3 linked regions of the Saccharomyces cerevisiae S288C genome follow. The protein of the gene in region 2 interacts with the protein of the main gene of each other region in a biochemical or structural test. Each region holds a gene or a part of one and is shown on either strand. Other genes may lie near its edges.

Region 1 (3,239 bases), on a different chromosome or scaffold from region 2:
CTACAGACAGCTACTACTAGTACGCTTTCCCCAACAACGACCAGTACAAGCTCAGGTAGTACAAGCTCAGGTAGTACAAGCTCAGACAGTACAGCTCGTACATTGGCTAAAGAATTGAATGCTCAATATGCGGCTGGTAAATTGAACGGTAAATCTACCTGTACTGAAGGTGAAATTGCATGCTCTGCTGATGGGAAGTTCGCCGTTTGTGATCATAGCGCTTGGGTTTACATGGAATGTGCTTCTGGAACCACATGTTATGCTTATGACTCCGGCGACTCAGTCTATACCCAATGTAATTTCTCTTATTTGGAAAGCAATTACTTTTAAAGTTATTAGAGATTGATTCATAGAGTCCGAATATTTTTTTTTGCAATATTCTTTATTTTTCACCTCATCTCACCGCCTCTCTTTTATTTCGTCAAGGTACCCTGCCTTCATGTTTTTACGTTTTTATAATCGACTACTTTATATCTATAACGAATTATTTAATTTTCTTCGATTTACTGTGTTTCTACCATTTTGCGAATTCGTGCCCCATCATGACTTATTTTATTTAATTGTTACATATCAAAGGACACTGGTTTACAAACATAAAAATGATTGTTGAGAATGCCAATTCCGCCCACTTACTACTTTTCATGTGTTAAATAGTACGCATAAACACGAGATCTGACTTCGATTGTTTCCTCGTCTTCGTCAAACATCGGTTTCCAATTAACCATTTCAATTAGCTGAGGAACCAAATGGAACTCGTTCTTAGCCAATTCGAAGAATTCTAAATCCTTCTCCAACAATTTTGGTCTATGCGGTGAAAATACTACCAACGCCTGACCTTTCTCAGCTAATAAATCCTTTGTTGTTTGAAGTAATTTGTGATGTTCCGTATGATTGAAGACTAAATCACTTAAAATGATTAAGTCAAACTTTCCATTATTGTTACCTATTTTTTCGATATGTGCCAACAATGGAGAATAATCGTTTCCCCAAATATAACCCTCCGTACTGACATTATTAAAATCTTCAGGAACGTTAGACTTTATATTATAATCGATGTTCTGCATTAAATCAGGATCTGGATAATCAGTTGAAACAACCATTTGAGCCCCATTCAAAGCACAAATAACGGAAGGTAAAGCAGCAGCAGCACCCAATTCTAAAACAGTCTTCCCCTTTATTAATTCTGGATGAGAATCCAAGTGATTTGCGGTGTATATTCCTGCATTCCACAAGAGATGACCCCAAAGTGGTGACGTTCCAACGAGACGGAGTTTGATGTCTTTAACATCTGATTTGGACTCTTTTGTGATGTGTGACCTTTGATATTCTGCAAAATGAGGTTTTGGTGGAGGAGGAAGAAAATCCTCTGGCTCCTCAAATAAACCTGCTGCCTCTCCCAATGATTCTATATCTGACATACGTTTACACGCCTTATTTATTGCGATAATGCTCGAAGTATTTCGTCATCTGCAACTGTTCTTTTTCCTGATTTTAGATTTTAACTTCTCGTCATTTTGAAAAATAAAATAAATGCGGCACGAAGGAAAGAATCTGAAATTGGCGACGGGCATAAGAAATATTATTCCGAAAGGCTGTAGCAGTGACCGTTTCTCTTTTACCCCAAGAGCGGTTAATAAAAGTGAAGCACTATATATAAGAACTGAAAGATGAACATATGGATAGATAATTGGAGTGTATGGCACAAATTGCTCGCACAGTAAAGGAAGGAAGAACAATATGTCGCAAGAAATTAGGCAAAATGAGAAAATCAGTTATCGTATTGAAGGACCATTCTTCATTATTCACTTAATGAACCCTGACAATTTGAATGCACTAGAAGGTGAAGACTATATTTATTTAGGAGAGTTACTAGAACTAGCGGACAGAAATCGTGATGTATATTTTACAATTATACAAAGCAGTGGTAGATTTTTTTCCAGTGGTGCTGATTTCAAGGGTATTGCAAAAGCCCAAGGGGATGATACCAATAAATATCCTTCGGAAACAAGCAAGTGGGTGTCAAATTTTGTCGCTAGAAATGTTTATGTCACTGATGCCTTCATCAAGCATTCCAAAGTTTTAATTTGCTGTTTGAATGGACCAGCAATAGGGTTGAGCGCGGCACTGGTAGCGTTATGTGACATTGTGTACAGTATAAATGACAAGGTTTATTTGCTATACCCCTTTGCTAACTTAGGACTAATTACCGAAGGTGGTACAACGGTCTCTTTGCCATTGAAGTTTGGCACAAATACGACGTATGAATGCCTCATGTTCAACAAACCATTCAAGTACGATATAATGTGCGAGAACGGATTTATAAGCAAGAATTTTAACATGCCATCTTCAAACGCTGAAGCGTTCAATGCAAAGGTCTTAGAAGAATTGAGGGAGAAAGTGAAAGGGCTATACCTGCCCAGTTGCTTAGGGATGAAAAAATTGCTGAAATCGAACCACATCGATGCATTCAATAAGGCTAACTCAGTGGAAGTAAATGAATCTCTCAAGTATTGGGTAGATGGAGAGCCCTTAAAAAGATTTAGGCAGCTGGGCTCGAAACAAAGGAAGCATCGTTTATGACGTCCGCTTTCTCAGTGAAACAAAACGCACACACAATATACTTATGTACAGACAATATGTATGCTAATTAATCTATATCATGTTGATCTTGAGGGAAGGTAGTATCAATGTCTTCCTTTGGTGCTAAAATTTCAGGTTCCTCAGGTTCCTGTAAACCTGGGCGTTCCTTCTTAGATGCGCTTACACCGATCATAATCGAACAAACAAGGACTAATATTACCAAAAGACCGCTTCTGGTTGTCTGCCATCTTAAATTTTCGATATGTGACCTGATATCCCCCAGTATCTTGGTTTGAATCTTGTTAGAACAGTCGTTCAATTTCAGGTTTAATTGTCGATACAAAAGGGTGTTTTCTAATTTTTGATTGTTAAATTCTAATTTAGCGTCCTTTTGCAAAAGATCTATTATGATTTCATTCAGTTCATCATGGATTGAGTTAAGTTCTCTCTTGAGTTTTAATAATTGCAAGTGGTGCTCATTTAGTTGCGTGTCTCTAGAGTTTTGAATTGCGAATTTCAATTCTGTTTCTAGCGAGCTGAACAAATGTGATTGTTTATTCAGCTCCATATCCCTTAAGAACAAATCATTGTAACAGGAATAAAACTGATCATTTAGTAGTTGCAACAATAGAGCTATGATAATTTTACATTGTTCATCG
Region 2 (4,009 bases):
AAAAAAGAAAAACCTTCTTCTGAAAAAAAAAAAAAAAAATTCAAAAAAAGACACCTTTCTACCTTGGCAGTAAATTTCAAATTAATTATTTACCAAACTGTAGTTCCCGCTCACTAATCCTTTCTTATACTTATTCACATTACTGTCACTTTGCGGCTGTATTTGGCCGCGTTTCCCTTTCGGGTGCAGGTACAAGAGGTATCCGAAACAAGAAGGGTTAAGTTTTGAAGAAAATGCCAAGTATTTCAATTTCAATAATAAGAACGCAAAACTACAGGAGACTCTTACTAAGCATACTACTTCTCAAAAAAGGGCTTTATTTTATAGAACATAAAACATACTGTAGGATCGCACACTGGAAAATATGTTGAAACGATCATCTCTAATATATCTATCATGTGTCCTAATCATTACCATACCAATACTTTTGCATGTATACAATGGTCCAGGACTGTCCCATGAAGCCAATGAACATAGGGCTTCTCACAAGCAAAAAAGAACGTTAGCAAATCCGGATAAACCCAAAAGCGAAAACGATGAAGATCTATTTTGTGCGGTAACCAACCCAGTCACCGGATCATACATAGATCTATCACAGCTATCTTCAACTCCCAACAAATTAAGGGAGGGCCAAAAACAGATTTCTGGCAATAACAAGCATGAATCCTCCAAGACGAAGTGGTCAGTGAGAGGTTGGGGCTACGATACAAACTTCACGTTAGGCATCTGCTCTAGTCCTGTCGGAGAAGCTGAGTCGCAACAACTGTCCAATCTAACGGGCGCTTTTTACGTAGACCAGTTGAACGAAAATAATTTAGTATCGATTGGAGACTTCAGTACAAGGCCTGCGTTAGTCGGCGGCTCTACTGCCAAGAAATTAACTCTCAAATACGAAAACGGCTCTATGTGCCCGAACGGGAAGGACAAGAAGGCAACTTTATTGAATTTTGTCTGCGATAAAGAAATTCAATCAAAGGCCCAGATATCATACATTGGAAACCTACACAATTGCTCGTATTTCTTCGAAGTCCGCAGCATTCATGCGTGCCCCACCTCAAACAAAAAGAATGAAGTTAACGTTTTGGGTATCTTCATCGGTATCTTCGCTATATTCTTTTTAGTCGAATTTGCGGGGAGAAGATGGATCTATGCTAAACTAAATAGGCATTTGAAAAACGACGACGAGTTACACGACATATCGCCATCTTTAAATGAGCAACCACACTGGGACCTCATAGAGGACGGGTCTCGCTGGAGTAAATTTTTCAACGGGATAATTAAGACGACAAGAAGGTTCACGAAATCTTTAATGAGGTCTTTAGTCAGAGGCAGGAACAGCCGTCAAGGGGGCATAAGACTACGGTCATCCCCATCTGCCTCTTCGTCCAGCCTTGCCAACAGGGAGTTCTTCAGAGACATGGAGGCTCAAAACGAAATTATTGACAGCCTAGACATCAATAGTCATACAACAGAAAGCGACCACCCAACTTTGGCTGATAATAGCGTATAAACAATGCATACTTTGTACGTTCAAAATACAATGCAGTAGATATATTTATGCATATTACATATAATACATATCACATAGGAAGCAACAGGCGCGTTGGACTTTTAATTTTCGAGGACCGCGAATCCTTACATCACACCCAATCCCCCACAAGTGATCCCCCACACACCATAGCTTCAAAATGTTTCTACTCCTTTTTTACTCTTCCAGATTTTCTCGGACTCCGCGCATCGCCGTACCACTTCAAAACACCCAAGCACAGCATACTAAATTTCCCCTCTTTCTTCCTCTAGGGTGTCGTTAATTACCCGTACTAAAGGTTTGGAAAAGAAAAAAGAGACCGCCTCGTTTCTTTTTCTTCGTCGAAAAAGGCAATAAAAATTTTTATCACGTTTCTTTTTCTTGAAAATTTTTTTTTTTGATTTTTTTCTCTTTCGATGACCTCCCATTGATATTTAAGTTAATAAACGGTCTTCAATTTCTCAAGTTTCAGTTTCATTTTTCTTGTTCTATTACAACTTTTTTTACTTCTTGCTCATTAGAAAGAAAGCATAGCAATCTAATCTAAGTTTTAATTACAAAATGGGTAAAGAGAAGTCTCACATTAACGTTGTCGTTATCGGTCATGTCGATTCTGGTAAGTCTACCACTACCGGTCATTTGATTTACAAGTGTGGTGGTATTGACAAGAGAACCATCGAAAAGTTCGAAAAGGAAGCCGCTGAATTAGGTAAGGGTTCTTTCAAGTACGCTTGGGTTTTGGACAAGTTAAAGGCTGAAAGAGAAAGAGGTATCACTATCGATATTGCTTTGTGGAAGTTCGAAACTCCAAAGTACCAAGTTACCGTTATTGATGCTCCAGGTCACAGAGATTTCATCAAGAACATGATTACTGGTACTTCTCAAGCTGACTGTGCTATCTTGATTATTGCTGGTGGTGTCGGTGAATTCGAAGCCGGTATCTCTAAGGATGGTCAAACCAGAGAACACGCTTTGTTGGCTTTCACCTTGGGTGTTAGACAATTGATTGTTGCTGTCAACAAGATGGACTCCGTCAAATGGGACGAATCCAGATTCCAAGAAATTGTCAAGGAAACCTCCAACTTTATCAAGAAGGTTGGTTACAACCCAAAGACTGTTCCATTCGTCCCAATCTCTGGTTGGAACGGTGACAACATGATTGAAGCTACCACCAACGCTCCATGGTACAAGGGTTGGGAAAAGGAAACCAAGGCCGGTGTCGTCAAGGGTAAGACTTTGTTGGAAGCCATTGACGCCATTGAACAACCATCTAGACCAACTGACAAGCCATTGAGATTGCCATTGCAAGATGTTTACAAGATTGGTGGTATTGGTACTGTGCCAGTCGGTAGAGTTGAAACCGGTGTCATCAAGCCAGGTATGGTTGTTACTTTTGCCCCAGCTGGTGTTACCACTGAAGTCAAGTCCGTTGAAATGCATCACGAACAATTGGAACAAGGTGTTCCAGGTGACAACGTTGGTTTCAACGTCAAGAACGTTTCCGTTAAGGAAATCAGAAGAGGTAACGTCTGTGGTGACGCTAAGAACGATCCACCAAAGGGTTGCGCTTCTTTCAACGCTACCGTCATTGTTTTGAACCATCCAGGTCAAATCTCTGCTGGTTACTCTCCAGTTTTGGATTGTCACACTGCTCACATTGCTTGTAGATTCGACGAATTGTTGGAAAAGAACGACAGAAGATCTGGTAAGAAGTTGGAAGACCATCCAAAGTTCTTGAAGTCCGGTGACGCTGCTTTGGTCAAGTTCGTTCCATCTAAGCCAATGTGTGTTGAAGCTTTCAGTGAATACCCACCATTAGGTAGATTCGCTGTCAGAGACATGAGACAAACTGTCGCTGTCGGTGTTATCAAGTCTGTTGACAAGACTGAAAAGGCCGCTAAGGTTACCAAGGCTGCTCAAAAGGCTGCTAAGAAATAAGGAGATTGATAAGACTTTTCTAGTTGCATATCTTTTATATTTAAATCTTATCTATTAGTTAATTTTTTGTAATTTATCCTTATATATAGTCTGGTTATTCTAAAATATCATTTCAGTATCTAAAAATTCCCCTCTTTTTTCAGTTATATCTTAACAGGCGACAGTCCAAATGTTGATTTATCCCAGTCCGATTCATCAGGGTTGTGAAGCATTTTGTCAATGGTCGAAATCACATCAGTAATAGTGCCTCTTACTTGCCTCATAGAATTTCTTTCTCTTAACGTCACCGTTTGGTCTTTTATAGTTTCGAAATCTATGGTGATACCAAATGGTGTTCCCAATTCATCGTTACGGGCGTATTTTTTACCAATTGAAGTATTGGAATCGTCAATTTTAAAGTATATCTCTCTTTTACGTAAAGCCTGCGAGATCCTCTTAAGTATAGCGGGGAAGCCATCGTTATTCGATATTGTCGTAACAAATACTTTGATCGGCGCTATCTGTAATGGAAAAGAGAAGAAGCCTCTTGACTCACTATCCACT
Region 3 (3,247 bases), on a different chromosome or scaffold from region 2:
CGTGAGTGAAGTATCTTAACGACATCAAATTATAAGTCTTCAGCACAGATTCGATATCGCTACCATGGATACCTAGCGCCACACGCATTACCAAATGCTGAGGACGTTCTGCCACTTCACCGTTCAGTCTTAGCAAGTACGAACGCTCCAGTGTCTTGAATCCGAAATACGTATACTGGAAATCCCTATCGTACACGATGGCCGAGTTCAAAGTATCTTTGTTTTCCATGACAATGTTGTAAATTTCGTCCGAAATCATAGGAGCATGCTTTCCAGTAGCTGGGTTAATCCAGTCGTGTAAATCCTCAATAACTTTGGAGAATTGCTTTGTGGTTTGCTTATGTAAGTTAGAGATGGCGATTCTAGCGGCTAGAGTGGCATAATCAGGGTGCACAGTGGTCATGTATGCACATGTTTCAGCTGCAAGATTGTCCAGCTCAACGGTAGTAACACCGGAGTACACACCAGAAATAATACGTTGGGTTACCTTAACAGCATCAATACGGTTTGGGTCTAAACCGTATGACAAACGGGTGATACGGGAGGTAATTTTATCGAATTGAACGGGCTCTTTGCGGCCGTCTCTTTTAATAACGTACATTTGTGTGGGAGTATTTGATTTATTGCTGCTGCTATTCTTGCTTGTCATATTTATTTCAACTTGGATATGAGATGAGAGAAAGGCAAGGAAGAAGGCAAAAGAAGGCAAAATAGCAGTGCGTTTATATACGTTTTGCAGCAGAACACGAAACAATATAAAGAACGCTGACACGAAAAACGAAACGCGTCAGCATCTCACAATACAGTATTACGATTTAACAATAGACTATTGTTTTTTTCCCATCTTGTCGTTTGGTCCTCGCCATGGCAACCGGGTTTTTGCCCCTTTGAGCAGCGCCTAGGTGTCGTTGCTGCGACAACCACGAAAAAAAAAAAAAAAAAAAAACAAAAGAACAACGGCACGCAATGTTGCTGTGACAACCGTAGGCAGATAACTTGGCTTTTTTTACTACTTTAGGAAAATTAGCAGCCAAGAACGAGGGCTTGCTCTGCTACCTAGTTCAAACTGAAACAAGCCTTCACTTTCTTTTCTTTTCTTTTTTTTTTTATCTAACAACTGAAGATTAAATGATAAATGTTTACGCGTGCGTGCGATTCATTCTTATGTATGTACGTATGTGCTGATTTTTTATGTGCTTGTTACCTTCTCTTGTTTCTTAAGAAGAAACTAGCCACGGCCACAGCGCCGGCTAGTACGCCTCCAGCGACGACAACACCCTTGAGTGTTTCCTTCTGGATCTTATCCTCTACCATACTCTTCAAAGCGCCCACCTGCTTGTTATTACGCTCATGCTCAAATAAAGTGTCTACATATCTCTTCGCCATAGAGTATTCACCGAGTTTGTAGCAACCTATGGTCAGATAATATAGGCATTCTCGTCTACGGGACTCGGCCTCTTTGTAAATGTCTGTGAGGATTTTCACACCAAGCCTTTCGTCATTCACGTCAGTGGATTTGATCAGCCCCCATGCGTAGTTAAACCTTGACTGTATGGTAGCGGTGGGCCCCCCCTCGGAGACGACTTGCTGGCGCAGAATCTCCAGCTGCTGCGGATAGAGTGGTTCGTATGCGTCCTTAAGAGTTGGCCAAAAATCTACTTTGGTCATACTTATGTTGTATGGCTGTGCTCTGATCTGTGCTTCTATGTGCCGTTTTTACGCAAGGTATATGATAACTTCTGTGCAGAATAGTGGCAATGGCAGCTTTGCTTTGAAAGGGGTCCAGCCTAGCCCGCTTGCGGTGTTCCGGCATAAATGCGCAAAAAGATTGGTTCATGAAAAGAAGTGAAAAAAAATCGATGAGCTCAGCTCTTAAGAACGGTATTATGGAACGAACTCAACCCGAAAAGGTAGTACAGATGCAGGGCACGGCAGATTTGAGCACTTCGAAACTTGGTACGAAAAAATACTGGGATGAACTGTATGCCCTGGAGCTGGAGAATTTCAGGCGGAATCCGCAGGATACCGGGGACTGTTGGTTTAGCGATAGCGATGCTGAACAAAAGATGATTGATTTTCTGGTAGATAACATTGGTGCGTACAGAATTTCTGAGAATGCTTCTGTTGTAGACCTCGGTACAGGTAATGGACACATGTTATTTGAACTGCATCAAACGGAATTCCAAGGGAAACTGGTCGGGATAGACTATTCTGAGGAAAGCGTCAAACTCGCTAGTAATATAGCCGAGGCCACCGGTGTTGACAATTTCATCAGTTTCCAGCAAGCAGACATCTTTAGTGGTGACTGGAAGCCGGGAAAGTATGACATTGTGTTGGATAAAGGGACCCTAGATGCCATTTCATTGAGTGGCATGAAGATCAACGGTAAACTTGATGTAGTCGATGTATACGCCGGAGTAGTGGAAAGGATTTTGAAAAAAGACGGTATTTTCTTGATCACTTCTTGTAATTTCACACAAGATGAACTAGTAAAGATCATAGAGACTGATAATTTGAAAATGTGGAAAACAATAAAATACCCTGTTTTCCAATTTGGCGGGGTCCAGGGTGCGACCATATGTAGTGTAGCATTTGTTAAACAAAACTGATTTGTTTTTATCTTTGATTTATTTTTAACGTTATTTCTCTTTACTTATTTAGGAACGGATTTAACTATAATGTTATACAATTCATCCGTGGTTTCCTTCTTACCAGTCTTTATGGCGTACTGTGCAGGATCACCGTTATCATCTACTGCTAGTAATCTTATGAATTTTTCGCTTTGCAAAGAACCTGTAAATCCTTTTTGCACAGTGAACCCCTTGACCAGTTGGATGTTTAAAATGACTTTTAAGATACCACGAGACCTCATAACAATACGCGTCTTCTCGACGTCGTCCTTACTTTTATTGATTTTGATGATACCAACACCTCTTTCCTTCCAGCCTTCTTTTATGTTGGAAAGTTGGTACAGCTTCGCATTGACTTGATATATGCACTCCTCAGACTCTTCACCAGACTTGACTTCCTGTTTCTGCAATTTGAGGGGTTTTGGTTTGTCTTTTGTATCTTCTGAGGCATTCGCTAGTTGTTCAGATCCACTATGGACTTTATCTTTGTCAACATCAGTAGCTTTCTTTTCACTTTCAGAGTTATTTTCTGTTTTGTTTTTCAGTATGTTGAAGCCGCTGCCAAATGATAAACCTGAACCAAATGCAAATGGCTTCTTTGTTTTGCTGTCAGAGGC

The links.
Region 1: of the proteins of TEF1 (region 2) and NNT1, one has a biochemical effect on the other in vitro, tested with the Saccharomyces cerevisiae proteins (one study listed by BioGRID).
Region 3: of the proteins of TEF1 (region 2) and EFM4, one has a biochemical effect on the other in vitro, tested with the Saccharomyces cerevisiae proteins (one study listed by BioGRID).

What each region holds. Positions count from the first base shown.
Region 1 is NC_001144.5:705,539-708,777, reverse strand, and holds NNT1 (S-adenosylmethionine-dependent methyltransferase), read right to left. Parts: upstream 1,419-3,239; coding exon 633-1,418; downstream 1-632. Other genes in the region: CTS1 (chitinase), read left to right, coding at 1-330; YLR285C-A (uncharacterized protein), read left to right, coding at 440-610; ECI1 (dodecenoyl-CoA isomerase), read left to right, coding at 1,738-2,580; PUT7 (Put7p), read right to left, coding at 2,648-3,239.
Region 2 is NC_001148.4:698,505-702,513, forward strand, and holds TEF1 (translation elongation factor EF-1 alpha), read left to right. Parts: upstream 1-2,089; coding exon 2,090-3,466; downstream 3,467-4,009. Other genes in the region: MRL1 (Mrl1p), read left to right, coding at 365-1,510; GRS2 (putative glycine--tRNA ligase), read right to left, coding at 3,610-4,009. UniProt on the Saccharomyces cerevisiae protein: GTP-binding component of the eukaryotic elongation factor 1 complex (eEF1). In its active GTP-bound form, binds to and delivers aminoacyl-tRNA to the A-site of ribosomes during protein biosynthesis.
Region 3 is NC_001141.2:240,108-243,354, forward strand, and holds EFM4 (Efm4p), read left to right. Parts: upstream 1-1,919; coding exon 1,920-2,609; downstream 2,610-3,247. Other genes in the region: ribonucleotide-diphosphate reductase subunit RNR3, read right to left, coding at 1-601; FIS1 (Fis1p), read right to left, coding at 1,201-1,668; YRB2 (Yrb2p), read right to left, coding at 2,654-3,247. UniProt on the Saccharomyces cerevisiae protein: S-adenosyl-L-methionine-dependent protein-lysine N-methyltransferase that mono- and dimethylates elongation factor 1-alpha (TEF1 and TEF2) at 'Lys-316'. May play a role in intracellular transport.